Linked DNA regions of Oryctolagus cuniculus. The protein of the gene in region 1 interacts with the protein of each later gene in a pairwise test. Links are inferred from orthologs where the notes say so. Each region holds a gene or a part of one and is shown on either strand. Other genes may lie near its edges. The genes, in order: DUSP12 and EIF5.

Region 1 (6,169 bases):
ATGGCCAGGGAGTGCAGTGGAGGATGGCCCAGGTGCTTGGGCCCTGCACCCCATGGGAGACCAGGAAAAGCACCTGGCTCCTGGCTCCTGCCAGGATCAGCGCGGTGCGCCGGCTGCAGCGGCGGCCATTGGAGGGTGAACCAACGGCAAAGGAAGACCTTTCTCTCTCTGTCTCTCTCTCTCACTGTCCACTCTGCCTGTCAAAAAAAAAAAAAAAAAAAAAAAAAAAAAAAAAATCCTTTTGATTAATATGTTTGTTTGGGAATTGCAGGCGATCCTTATTTCGAAGTTCAAGTATTTTGGGTCACAGTGAAGGAAGTGGACCTATAGCTTTTGCCCACAAGAGAATGGCACCATCATTCATGCTTGCCACAGGGACTCAGTGTACATCTTATTTCATTGAACCTGTACAGTGGATGGAATCTGCTTTGTTGGGAGTGATGGATGGGCAGGTCAGAATACATTTCTTATTTTTTCTACAATTTCATTGTACAATCTGTATTTTCTTCCTTTTTGTATTTTAACTAGTGTTTTATTCCATCTTAATCCCTTTCTTTTATGAAGATTATATTTTTCTAGTGTGGATCAGACTGTCAAAAATAAATATTTTTAAAGATCAGCTGATTTTAAATGGTAGTTGAGAGTTGCTACTCTAAGTTAATAAGTTTCTTTTAAGTCTATTTATATTTTTCAAATATAAAACAAATATTACTTTAAAACAAATTAATATCTTATAAAATTTGAACTTTGTAACAAGTAGGTTACCTCAGGAATTTTTAAATTTGGTTTAAAATGTCTTCCCTTTCTTTTTCTTTCTTAATTCCATGCATTTCTCTCTTTTTCTGATCTTTCAATTTAGTATGTTTGTTACGAGATTCTTTTTCATTTCCTGTCCAAGAATACAACTCATAACATCCTGTGACAGCCACTTTTTTCTTTAGGTTTAAGTTTTTGATATTAATATGCAGGCATTCTATAGAAATAATTTTAATAGTGATTTTAAAAGTTTGTAGAAAAGTTTTTATAATGGATATTTATTGAAACTCTTATTCCATGTCATTGGAATAAAATGGCTTTATAAAGGTGGTAGAACAGATACAGTCATACTTTATATGTGGGGAAACTTCATTTATTTACTGAGTATTTTACTTAAAAACAGTATCCTATATTCAAATGCACATTTTCAGATTTTGTTACTTTTTAAAAAAACAGCTTTGTTAAAGTATAACTCACATACCATACAGTTCACCAATTTAGAATAATGAATTCAACAGCTTTTAGTATATTCACAGTTTTTTGCAACTGTCGCTATTCTCATGACCCTTAAAATGATATATCCATTAGCGTTCATTTCCCATTCTTGATGATCGTATTTACAGTGATTGTTTCAGATTTTGGTGAACTGTAATATTGCTCTTTGGTGACTTATGCTTTTGGCTTGCTGCTTTCATTTAACCTGGAAAATATACAAACACATGATATTTTTGTGAAAGATTCTAAACCCTATTTGTGCGTATTTCTTTGTATACATATTTGAGTTTTCTTATATGGTATACACTTAGAAGTAAATTGTTGGCTTTATGACTGTATACATTTTAAATATTAATCATATTCCAGGCTGACATTCAAAATGCTCATACAAATTTAGTTTTCACCAACAGTGAATATCTACCCATTTCCTCATACCCTGGGCAAGTTATATATAAAACTGGTGAAGTTTTGTCAGTCTGTATCATGAAAATATTAATCTTACGTTTTTCATGACTACAGCCGAGGATGACATCTTTGCATTTACCAGCCATCTATAGTTGCTTTTTATTTATTTATTTATTCGAAAGTCAGAGTTACACAGAGAGAGGAGAGGCAGAGAGAGTGAGAGAGAGAGAAAGAGTGGTCTTCTATCTGATGGTTCACTCCCCAGATGGCCGCAATGGCCGGAACTGCACCTATCCGAAGCCAGGAGCCAGGAGCTTCTTCCTGGTCTCCCACTCGGGCACAGGGGCCCAAGGACTTGGGCCATCTTCCACTGCTTTCCCAGGCCACAGAGCTGCATCAGAAGAGGAATAGCTGGGACTAGAATTGATGCCCATATGGGATGCCGGGGCTCCAGGCCAGGGCGTTAACCCGCTCAGCCACAGCGCCGATCCCCCCCCGCCCCATCTATAGTTTCTTGTTGTGTAAACTGCTTTACCATCCCTGGCCTATTTTCTATGAATTTTCTTACTCTTACTGATTTGTAGGAGCTGTGTATATATTCTAGATGTAGATGCTTCATTTAATAAATAGAATTATTTTCCCTAGTCTATTACTTATCTCAAATTTTTGGTATATTTTGTAATAAAATTTAAGATACTGTGTAGTCTATTTTTTCATTTGTGGTTTCTGGGCTTTAAATCTGGACTTCCTGTAGTTTAATATTAAAAGCAAAAATTCCTACTTCCTACCATGTACAAATTATAGAACTAAACCTAAAAAATGTGATAACTGCACTGAAAGAAAATACAGTTTACTAAAGCTTTGATTTATCTGTTTTACTGGAATATCAGTTGATTGTTTTTAAGTCACTAGGAATCTGACTTACATGCTATCATTATCAGTAATAAAACATGAGAATCCTAATAATCTTTTCCATTCTTTATTCATGTTGTAGTTTTTTTTTTTTTGAGATTTTATTTATTTATTTGAGATGTAGAGTTACTGACGGAGAGGGAGAGATAGAGAGAAAGGTCTTCCATCTGCTGGTTCATTCCCCAAATAGCCACAGCAATCGGAGCTGGGCTGATCAAAAGCCAGGAGCTTCTTCCAGATCTCCCATGCAGGTGCAGGGGCCTGAGTACTTGGGCCATCTTCTATTGCTTTCCCAGACCATAGCAGAAAGCTGGATTGGAAGAGGAGCAGCTGGAACTAGAACCAAAAGAGAGAGATCTTTCATCCATTTGTCTACTCCCCAAATACCTGCAACAGCTAGGGCTGGGCCAAGACCCCAGAATCCAATTTGGATCTCCCACATGAGTGGCAGGGACCCAATTACTTGAGCCATCACCTGCCTTCTAGGGTACCCATAACAGGAAGCTGGAATTGGAAGCAGAGGTGGCACTCAAAACAGGCACTCTGATGAGATGTGGCTGTTCTAAGTGATGTCTTAACCACTGTGTCAGGTGCCTGCCCCTACACGTTGATTTAAAAACCTAGTATGTATGCCACATTCTTGAAGCCATCCTTGAGTTTCAAATGTCACCTTTCTCCCCTAAAGCTGGGATCCATCTGTTCTTCCTCTAAGCTGCCCGAGTACAACATACTTCTTAGGCAGTAATTGTAGTCCACCATCTATAATACAGCAAATTCCTCATGTATTTAATGTCACCAATTAGAGTACAAACTCCTTGAAGATAGGGGCCATGTTTGCCTGTGCTTATATCCTATATTGCCAAAGAAAATTATTTGTTTTGTATAAAAGTGAATAAATGAAGTAATACATTGGCTTTTTATTTCAGCTGCTTTGTCCAAAATGCAGTGCCAAATTGGGTTCCTTCAATTGGTATGGTGAACAGTGCTCATGTGGAAGATGGATAACACCTGCTTTCCAAATACATAAGAACAGAGTGGATGAAAAGAAAATGCTGCCAGTTTTGGGATCACAAACAAGAAAAATATGAACTTGTGACATCTGCTATCTTGGAAGGAACCTTGCTGAAGATACATGCTGCCCCGGCTTTCAGTTACTCACTGCAGGTTGTCTAGTTTGTAGGCCATCAACATTTCAATTGCAGTGTGAAAGGGAAAAATCCCATGAAGTAACCTAGAAACTGCCCTGTTATTAGGTTATTACGTGATGTAAGTAGAATACATAGCAATCAAAGTTTTTTAGTCATATAAATTTTATATGATAGTAAAATCTTTTATGATACTAACACTTCATTTGTTTCATGTTTTTAAAAGTCATGATTTATTTATTTAATTTGAAAGGCAGACAGAGACAAAGATCTCCCATCTGTTGGTTTATTCTCCAGATGCTTGCAGTTTCTGGAACTGGGCCAAGCCTAATCCAAGAGCCAGAAACTCAATCCATGTCTCCCATATTAGTGGCAGAATCGTCACCTGCTGCTTTAGCCTACATTTGCAGGAAGATGGAATAGGAAGTGGAGCTAGAACTCAAACTGAGGCGCTCTGATACGGGATGGGGGAGGTCTCCTATGGCATCTTAACCACTATGCCAAATGCTGCCCTGAAACTTAATTCCAGTTTTCCATGAGTTTTTTGAAGTACCCTCGTATTTTGAAATTTTGCTTTCTCTCTTTTAAGGGAAATTAGTAAGCCTATTTATGTCTAGATTTTTCTTGTAAATGTAAAAGAAAGGCTATTAGTAAAACAGAATATGTTTTTCTTGTTCAGAAATTCCAATTATCTGCAGGTTTTTTTTTTTTTTTTCTTAAGTTTATTTATTTGAAAGGCAGAGTAAAACAGTGAAAGATAGAGATCTTCCATCTGCTGGTTCATGCTTCAAATGCCTATAGCAGCTGAGGCTGGGCCAGGATGAAGCAAGGTGCCTGAAACTCCATCTGGGTCTCCAGCATGGGTAGCAGGGACCCAAGGACTTGAACCAGCACGTGCTGTGCATGAGCAGGAAGCTGGAAGTAGAAGCATAGCCAGGACTCATCCAGGCATTGATACAGGATGGGTAGCTTAACCTACTGTGCCACCGTGCCCACTCCAATAAACATTTTATCTACATTTTTAGAAAAGTGTGTTTGAGATACCTCTTAAAGCAATCTACATAAAGAAATACTTTAATGTTAGATGTGTCTTAATAATCAAGATTAATGTGGAATTACATGTCAGTTACTCTTTTAGTCTAATACATTTGAGTATTGGAAAAAGTAATAAATCTAGATCAACTTTGTAACCTGATTTCTGGAAACTAGAATTGTACTCACTATTAATAGGGCAAATTGGACCTAATTTGGTATTTTGAACATATACATGAAATCAGAATTAGCTAATAAAGAGAAATATGTGTCTGTATTGTAAAAACTAAAATGGGAATAATTTTTCAATGTAAAATAAGGTGTAAATAATGAACTTCTTAGTATCTAGAATAGGGACTGGCCCTGTTGCATGGTGGGTAAAGCTGCCACCTGCAGGGCTGACATCCTGGCTGCTCTACTTCTGATCCAACTCCCTAATAATGCGCCTGGGAAAGCAGCAGAAGATGGCCCAGGGTCTTGGCCTCTTGCAACCACATGGGAGACCCAGATGAAGCTCTTGGCTCCTGGCTTTGGCCTGGCCCAGACCTGGCCATTGTGGCCATTTGGGGAGTGAATCAGTGAATGTAAGACCCCTCTCTCTGCCTCTGTTTCTCCCTCTCCTTCTCTGTTACTCTTTCAAATGAATAAATCTTTTTAAAAAAATCTAGCTTAATTTTTGACATGTGTTGTAATGTTATGGATGATCCTTGAGAAAAATTTTAAGACCTGAAGCCTTTATCAACTTTCATGGAGTAATTTTTCTTGTGAGAAAAGAATTCCCTCCATTTCTGTTTTAGCTTTTACACACTTTGTCTAGTTTTTTGCTTTATACTGTTCTCTGGAAAGCTTTTTACTAAACAGGTTATACCATATGAAACTGTCCCTTTTGTAGGAAAAAAGTAATGGAACAGCAGTTTCATGTGGCTCAAGTTAATGTCTATCCATCATATATTGTAGCATATAGTACCAAGAGAAATAGATTTGAATGTACAGTTGTCAGCAAATGTTTCCTGAGGATGTATTATGTGCACAGTTCTAGGTGATAAAATAAACAAACTGATGTTCTAGCTGGGAGAGACAGATAAAATACCTTTTTTGAAAGATAAGTGGTATTTATCAGTGCAGATCAATTTTGGGAAACCTAACTTCTCTATTTAAATTATACAGGTTTTTTTTTTTAAACTTATTTGACAGGTAGAGTTAGATAGTGTGAGAGAGACAGAAAACAACTTACAACTTTTTTTTTTTTTTTTACTTATGTGACAGGTAGAGTTAGACTGTGAGAGAGAGAGAGAAAACTACTTAACTTACAACTTTTTTTTTTTTTTTTTTTACATATTTGACAGGTAGAGTTACACGGTGAGAGAGAGAGTCAGAGAGAAAGGTCTTCCTTCCGTTGGTTCACCTCCCAAGTGGCCACTACG
Region 2 (6,269 bases), on another chromosome or scaffold:
ACTGAAAGCTGGGAGAGAGGTGTCACAGGAGGCCAGGGGAGCAGCCGACGACTGCTTTTGATTGCCCTTCACGAGGTGCAGACCGGGGGAGCCGGGCCACAGGCCCCGTCACCGTGGGCACTAAGGTACTGGACAGGTGGTCTCCCGAAGTCCGCGTGGGGCTGATCCTGTGCAGTGAGGGGCTCGTGCACGGCAAGACAACGTCTCAACAACCAGAGAGCTGCCTGCCTCTCACGTCTGCCATTCAGGCCACGCGCCACACTCGTCCAACAGGCATCCAGGCGCACCTGGTGCCCGTGCATCCTTTAGTGGACGGTGAGCACCTGACTGGAGGACGTGACACAGCCAAATGGGCACAGGCCCAGACATGGGAGGCGGAATTGTGCAACAGGCCTGGCGTCACACAAGCCGGAGTTCAAACAGTGACAGGCGACTTCGGGAACACCGCCTCCCCTTCCCGAGTCTCCTCGCCCGTAAAATGAGCGTGAGGACGCCCCGCACAGGCCTGCCGGTGTTCACGCAGGTCTGCCTCCCCGCACAGGCCTGCCGGCGTTCACGTGGGCCTGCGGGCTGCGCCCCTGCTGTTCAAGGCGATGGCTTTGGGACCCCGCAGCTCTGGGCCTAAATCCTAGCTCTGACCTTCACTGGGTCTGTGAGGGAGTCCAGCTTGTGAGAAAATGAAATTAAAAGGTTGTTTTGTCACAAAAAAGCCTGCAATCCAGGCACACAAGGGGTCTTCAAAAATTTCATGGAAAATGCATACTACAAAAATAACTATGCATGGTTTCTACATTTTATTTTCACCAGACGTGTCAGTCAAAATTTTCCATGACTTACTGTTTAAATACCCTCGTATGACTTTGGGCAAGTTGCTTAAATTTTTCCACTAGGCCTGTTCGCACATTTGCAGAATGGGAATAAACGTTGTCCTGGGGTCTAGCAGTGAGTAAGATAGCGCCGCCAGAGCACTCGGCTGCGAGGGCGCGGGGAGAGCCTCACAACGTGGCTGTGAGTGCCACACACCAGAACTTAAAATGAGCTCAAACTATTACAAACTGGGCAAGGGAAAAAAGGCGCCTTGTATTTATTTAAAACTTTCCTGAGGACAAAGCCTCTTACCCCAGGAGAGCTGCGCGCCCTTCCTTTCCAGGAGTTTCTAAAATAACGTCACGCGTGGGCAGCCACGCAGAGCCAACCGGCCTCAACCCTGCAGTCACGCGCCGCCGCGACCCTGCCCAGCACGGCCGAGTTACTCCCTAACCCGCACTAGGCGGGCCGAACGGCTTACAGAGCCCACAACACCAGGAAGAGTAACCCTGCACTGGAAGGGGAGAGGGAGTGGGAGAGGGGAGCGTTGTGGGTGGCAGGGAAGTTACGGGGGGGGGGGGGGGGAGCTATTGTAATCCATAAGCTGTACTTCGGAAATTTATGCTCATTAAATAAAAAAAAATAAATTAAAAAAAAAAAGAGTAACCCTGCACTTTGATGTAAAAAAAAAAAAAAAGCCTCTAAGCTTGCAAACTGCACGGGTTAACACCCACGCTGTCCACTCCAGGTGCGGACCCGGGGAGCCCGGCCAGGAAGCAGCCAGCAGTCCGAGTCCAGCTCAGACTCGGACGCAGAAGCCCGAGTTCCTGGAAGCACAGGGAAGCTGCGGCAGAACAAGACGCGAGCCCTGTCGCCACAGCCGCCCTGGTCACCCCGGGGCCCCATGCGACGGGCGGTCACTCGGGGCAAAGCGGCAGAGGGGCAGCGAGGGTCGGGGCTCTCCAAGCCTGGGGCAGCGCAGCGGACACTGCGCCGAGGCGGGGCGCTGCCAGGAGGCCCCGCTACGAGCGAGTCCGAGGTTTCCACTTCTGAAACCGGGGAGCCACGGTGTGGGAGGGGAGCGGCCAGGCTCGGCGCGACGAAGTCCCTGGCCTGCCCCATCCAAGGGCCAGGGTCCCCCGAGGCCACTCGGCCCAAAGAGGCGGATAAAAGGCAGCACTCGCGATCCAGGAGCCGGGCAGGGGCCGGCGGGCGAGTGCCCGGCCCCTAGTCGAGCGCGCCGCCGCGAGGAGCGGCCCGGAGCGCTGCAGGCCCGAGCCAGGCCCAGGCCCAGCCTCAGGCAGACGGGGGAGGGGAACCAACCGCCATCTTTCCCAGAGTGCCGTAACCACTAGACGAAGCTCCGCCGCGGCGGCCGCTCCCTCTCTCGCGAGATCTGGCGCCTGCGCCGCGAAGGCCACTGGGAAAAGCGGGGGGAGGGGAGAGGAAGGAAGCCGGGACCCCGGCTGGAGGCGGGCTGAAGCGGCGACAGGACCCTCAGGAAGAGGGGGCGGGGAGAGGGCGCGATTGACGCGGCGTGCAGGCCAATCAAAAGCGAGCTCGGGCGGGCCTCCGGCCAATCGGTAGTGCGGCCTAGCGCGAGGGGCGGGCGCTGGGGCCGAAGGTAGCTTGAGCGCGGCGGCGGCGTTGTTCAGTCAGAGCGAGAACATTCCAGAGGTGAGTCCGCTGGAGGGGCGGCGGCCCCGCGCCCCCTCCCCGCCCCCCGACCCCGCGGGCCGCTGGCTGGCGGGGCAGGCGCGCCCGCCCGGCCGCGGCTCACGGCGCCGTCTCTCCGCGCCAGGTCGCCGCTCCGCGCTGCCCGACCGCGGACGTCTGGGACAGCCCCTCCCGCTGCTCGGCGGCGGCACCTGGCCCGGCCGCTCCCCGCGCTGCGCTGCGCTCCGCTCCGCCGCCTCCGCCGCCCCGGACTCGGACTCGGGTTGAGACGCGCCTCACTTCATCCCAGTCCCGGGCGAGCAGCGTTGGGTTTATGTCTTTATTTGACGAAAACGGTGAGTCGCGGGCGGGCGGGCGGGCGGGCGGACGGGAGATGGCGGCCGCACAAGATGGCGGCGCCGCCGCGTGACCCGCCGCGGCGTGTGGCGCAGTTTGGGGGGCGGGCGGCCCGCGGCCCGCAGCCGGCGCGGCCTCTGCCCTGCCGGCGGGAGCGCGCGCTGCCGCATCTGTGAGTCACCGCGCCCGCGGCGGGGGTGGCCGGCGGCCCCGGCGCCGCGGCGGGCCCGGGATGGGCCCGGCGCCCCTGAGCGCCTCGGAGGGCGCGGGGCCGAAGGTCAGGCGCGCGGGGCCGGGCGGGCCCTCGCGCCCGCGGCCGGACGCTGGAGTAAGCCGGCGCCGCGGCGCCAACGCTCCGCTCGGCCCCGGACTGCGGCTCGGGGGGCAGGGCTGGCCGCCCCGGCGGGTGGGGGCGGGGCGGGCTTCCGCGGGCGGCGGCCGGCGTTCCCGGGCCCGGGCCGCGGCGTCGCCAGCGCGGAGGCCCCGTCTGTCGCCGGCGGCGTGCGGGGTCGGGGAGTCGGAGGCGCCCCGCCGGGTCCGGGGCTGTGTGTGGCGCGGGCAGCCCGTCGGTGCGGGAGTGACGTTACACCTGCGGGGATCGGGTGTGTTCTTTGCTTCTCTTGCAGAGCTGTTGCGCAGCCATTGGTACCTGTATTGGGGACACATAGCATACAAGCAAGAAGCTTGCAGCCTCAGTGGCGAAAATTTTTTCATGTCAGAGACCGAGAACTCTTGCAGTCGTTTATGTCATCCCTTCTTCTCCAGACAGAAGATACCAAAAAGTTGCAATCAAAGATCTCTTCATCTTATTGATAAAGCCACTAATAAGCCAAAATGTCTGTCAACGTCAACCGCAGCGTGTCAGACCAGTTCTATCGCTACAAGATGCCCCGTCTGATTGCCAAGGTAATGCTGATCTTCGATTTTGTAGGAAGACTGTAGATGTTTAAGTAGATTAAATGCAAAAATAAAGTTCGTGTTCTCTTTAGGTTGAGGGCAAAGGAAATGGAATCAAGACAGTTATAGTCAACATGGTTGACGTTGCAAAGGCGCTTAATCGGCCTCCAACGTGTAAGTAAAGCTTCTTGGAGAAGTCTGAAAAGGTATATGACGAATATATATTGTCTTGATCCTCTTTAAGCTGAAAAACATTTACGAATTCTTTGCTAATTAGTTGAAAGGGTAAGGAGTGGAACCTCTAACAAATGTAATAGTTGTCTTAAGTTCACAAAATTACCTGGGCAGCACATTAGATTTAGCACGATTTTTTTTGTTTTAAAGATTTGAGAGGCAGAGAGAGGGGCTGTCCATCTGCTGGTTCACTCCCCAAATGGTCACAACAGCTGGAGCTGAGCTGATCAGGAGCTTCTTGTCTCCCAGTTGGGTGCAAGGGGCCACCTTACATTGCTTTCCCATGCCATAGCAGAGAGCTGGATCAGCTGGAACTCAAACAGGCGTCCATATGGAATGCTGGCACTGCAGGTGGCAGCTTTACCTACACCACTAGCTCTGTGCCCAACAACTTAAAAACAGTGATTTTTGTGTAAGATATGAACAAGCAGCCAGACATTTAGTTAACTGTAATGAGGCAAATCTAATTGTTTTTCTCCAAATAGATCCCACCAAATATTTTGGTTGTGAGCTGGGAGCACAGACCCAGTTTGATGTTAAGAATGACCGTTACATTGTCAATGGATCTCATGAGGCGAATAAGCTGCAAGACATGTTGGATGGATTCATTAAAAAATTTGTTCTCTGTCCTGAGTGTGAGAATCCTGAAACAGATCTGGTGAGTGAATGCAGCAGGGTTTTTGTTTGGAACAGACAAAACCATCTGCCTGCCTCTGAGCAATCCTGTGGTAGCACTGCCTTTCCTGGGAAGGCAAGGCACACTTTGCTGTTAGAAAACAACGCACCTACAATTTTTTTTAAGTAGGTCGCCGTCTCTCATTTCTTATGATGGTTTTTTTTCCTTTTCCAGCATGTCAATCCGAAGAAGCAAACAATAGGCAATTCTTGTAAAGCCTGTGGCTATCGAGGCATGCTTGACACACATCATAAACTCTGCACGTTCATTCTCAAAAACCCACCTGGTAAGGCTTCATACTAAACTAATAAGATTTTTTTTTTTAAATTTATTTATTTATCTGAAAGTCAGTTACATAGAAGGAGAGGCAGAGAGAGCTCTTCCATCTGCTGGTTCACTCCCCAGTTGGCCGTCGCTGATCCGAAGCCGGGAGCTGCTTCTAGGTCTGCCACTCAGGTGCAGGGGCCCAAGGACTTGGGCCATCTTCTACAGCTTTCCCAGGCCATAGCAGAGAGCTGGATGGGAAGTGAAGCAGCCAGGTCTTGAACTGGCGCCCATATGGGATGCTGGCACTGTAGGCGGTGGCTTTACCCGCTGTGCCACAGCACTAGCCCCACTAATAAGATTTTAACAAAATTTCTTGGAAACAAAGTGGGAGATTTTCTGTTGCAAAAGGAATATGGGAACACCACGTTGCATTACATGTAAATGTTTGAAAAGTCTACTATTTTTTTTTTTTTGTGCCATTAAAGTTGAATACAGTAGATTTTTCCACCATACCATCAACTTTTGAGATGGGCCATCTTAAGGTGAATGAGACACTTAAGATTAGTGTTGTTTGGTAAACGGAGAGCTTGTCTTAAGATTTAAGGGTCTTTAAACTGCAAGCAACACTCTGTGGCAGACTGTCAAAACTGTCTGACACAATTTGAGCTTGCTATAGCAAGGAAGTCTAACCTATTCCGGTGTTCTCTTTCCTGTGAGACAAGCCGTTATATAGACTTAAACAGTGTTCAACTGTGTTGGAGAAGGCTGGTTTGAGATAGAAGCCTTGTTCAAGGTCACAAGGCCTATGTTGAACTTCTTGGGCATTTGAGACATCATCACTTCATGTCTATTCTCATCCAACAATTGATTCCCAGGATTTTCCATTCTCAGACTGAATTTCTCAGCTTTGAAACACAGTGGGATAAGTATGATCTATAGAATTTTTCAAGATTTGTTTGAGAGGGAAAGACATCCTCTTCTGGTGGTTCACTCCACAGGTGGCCGCAGTGGCCAGGACTGTGTCCTGCCTGGGTGTAGAGGCTTTGGGCCATCTTCCACTTCTTTCCTAGGTGCATTAGCAGGGAGTTGGATTGGAAGGCGCCCATGTGAGATGCTTGTATTACAGGCAGCATTTTAACCAGCTGCACCATATCACTGGCTCTAATCTAGAATTATAAGCGTTTTGTTTGGTTTTCTGAGGGTGATCCATAGCAGACAGACAGGACGGTGGGCACTGAGATGTTCGCTATGAGATTAAACTTGTATTTCATTCTGTTTCCATGTAGAGAATAGTGACAGTGCTACAGGGAAGAAAGAAAAGGAAAAGAAGAACAGGAAGGGCAAAGACAAGGAGAATGGCTCCGTATCCAGCAGT

The links.
Region 2: the proteins of DUSP12 (region 1) and EIF5 interact in binary tests that used the Homo sapiens proteins (3 or more experiments, as listed by UniProt). The two-hybrid records come from large-scale screens. The link is inferred for Oryctolagus cuniculus from reciprocal best matches to the Homo sapiens genes DUSP12 and EIF5.

The regions. Positions count from the first base shown.
Region 1 is NC_091438.1:37,036,757-37,042,925, reverse strand, and holds part of DUSP12 (dual specificity protein phosphatase 12), read left to right. Parts: intron 1-271; coding exon 272-452; intron 453-3,494; coding exon 3,495-3,656; 3' UTR 3,657-6,169. UniProt on the Homo sapiens protein: Dual specificity phosphatase; can dephosphorylate both phosphotyrosine and phosphoserine or phosphothreonine residues. Can dephosphorylate glucokinase (in vitro).
Region 2 is NC_091451.1:46,203,726-46,209,994, forward strand, and holds the start of EIF5 (eukaryotic translation initiation factor 5), read left to right. Parts: upstream 1-2,345; 5' UTR 2,346-2,484; intron 2,485-2,608; 5' UTR 2,609-2,819; intron 2,820-3,446; 5' UTR 3,447-3,654; coding exon 3,655-3,726; intron 3,727-3,809; coding exon 3,810-3,891; intron 3,892-4,436; coding exon 4,437-4,609; intron 4,610-4,801; coding exon 4,802-4,913; intron 4,914-5,512; exon of another isoform or gene 5,513-5,638; intron 5,639-6,180; coding exon 6,181-6,269.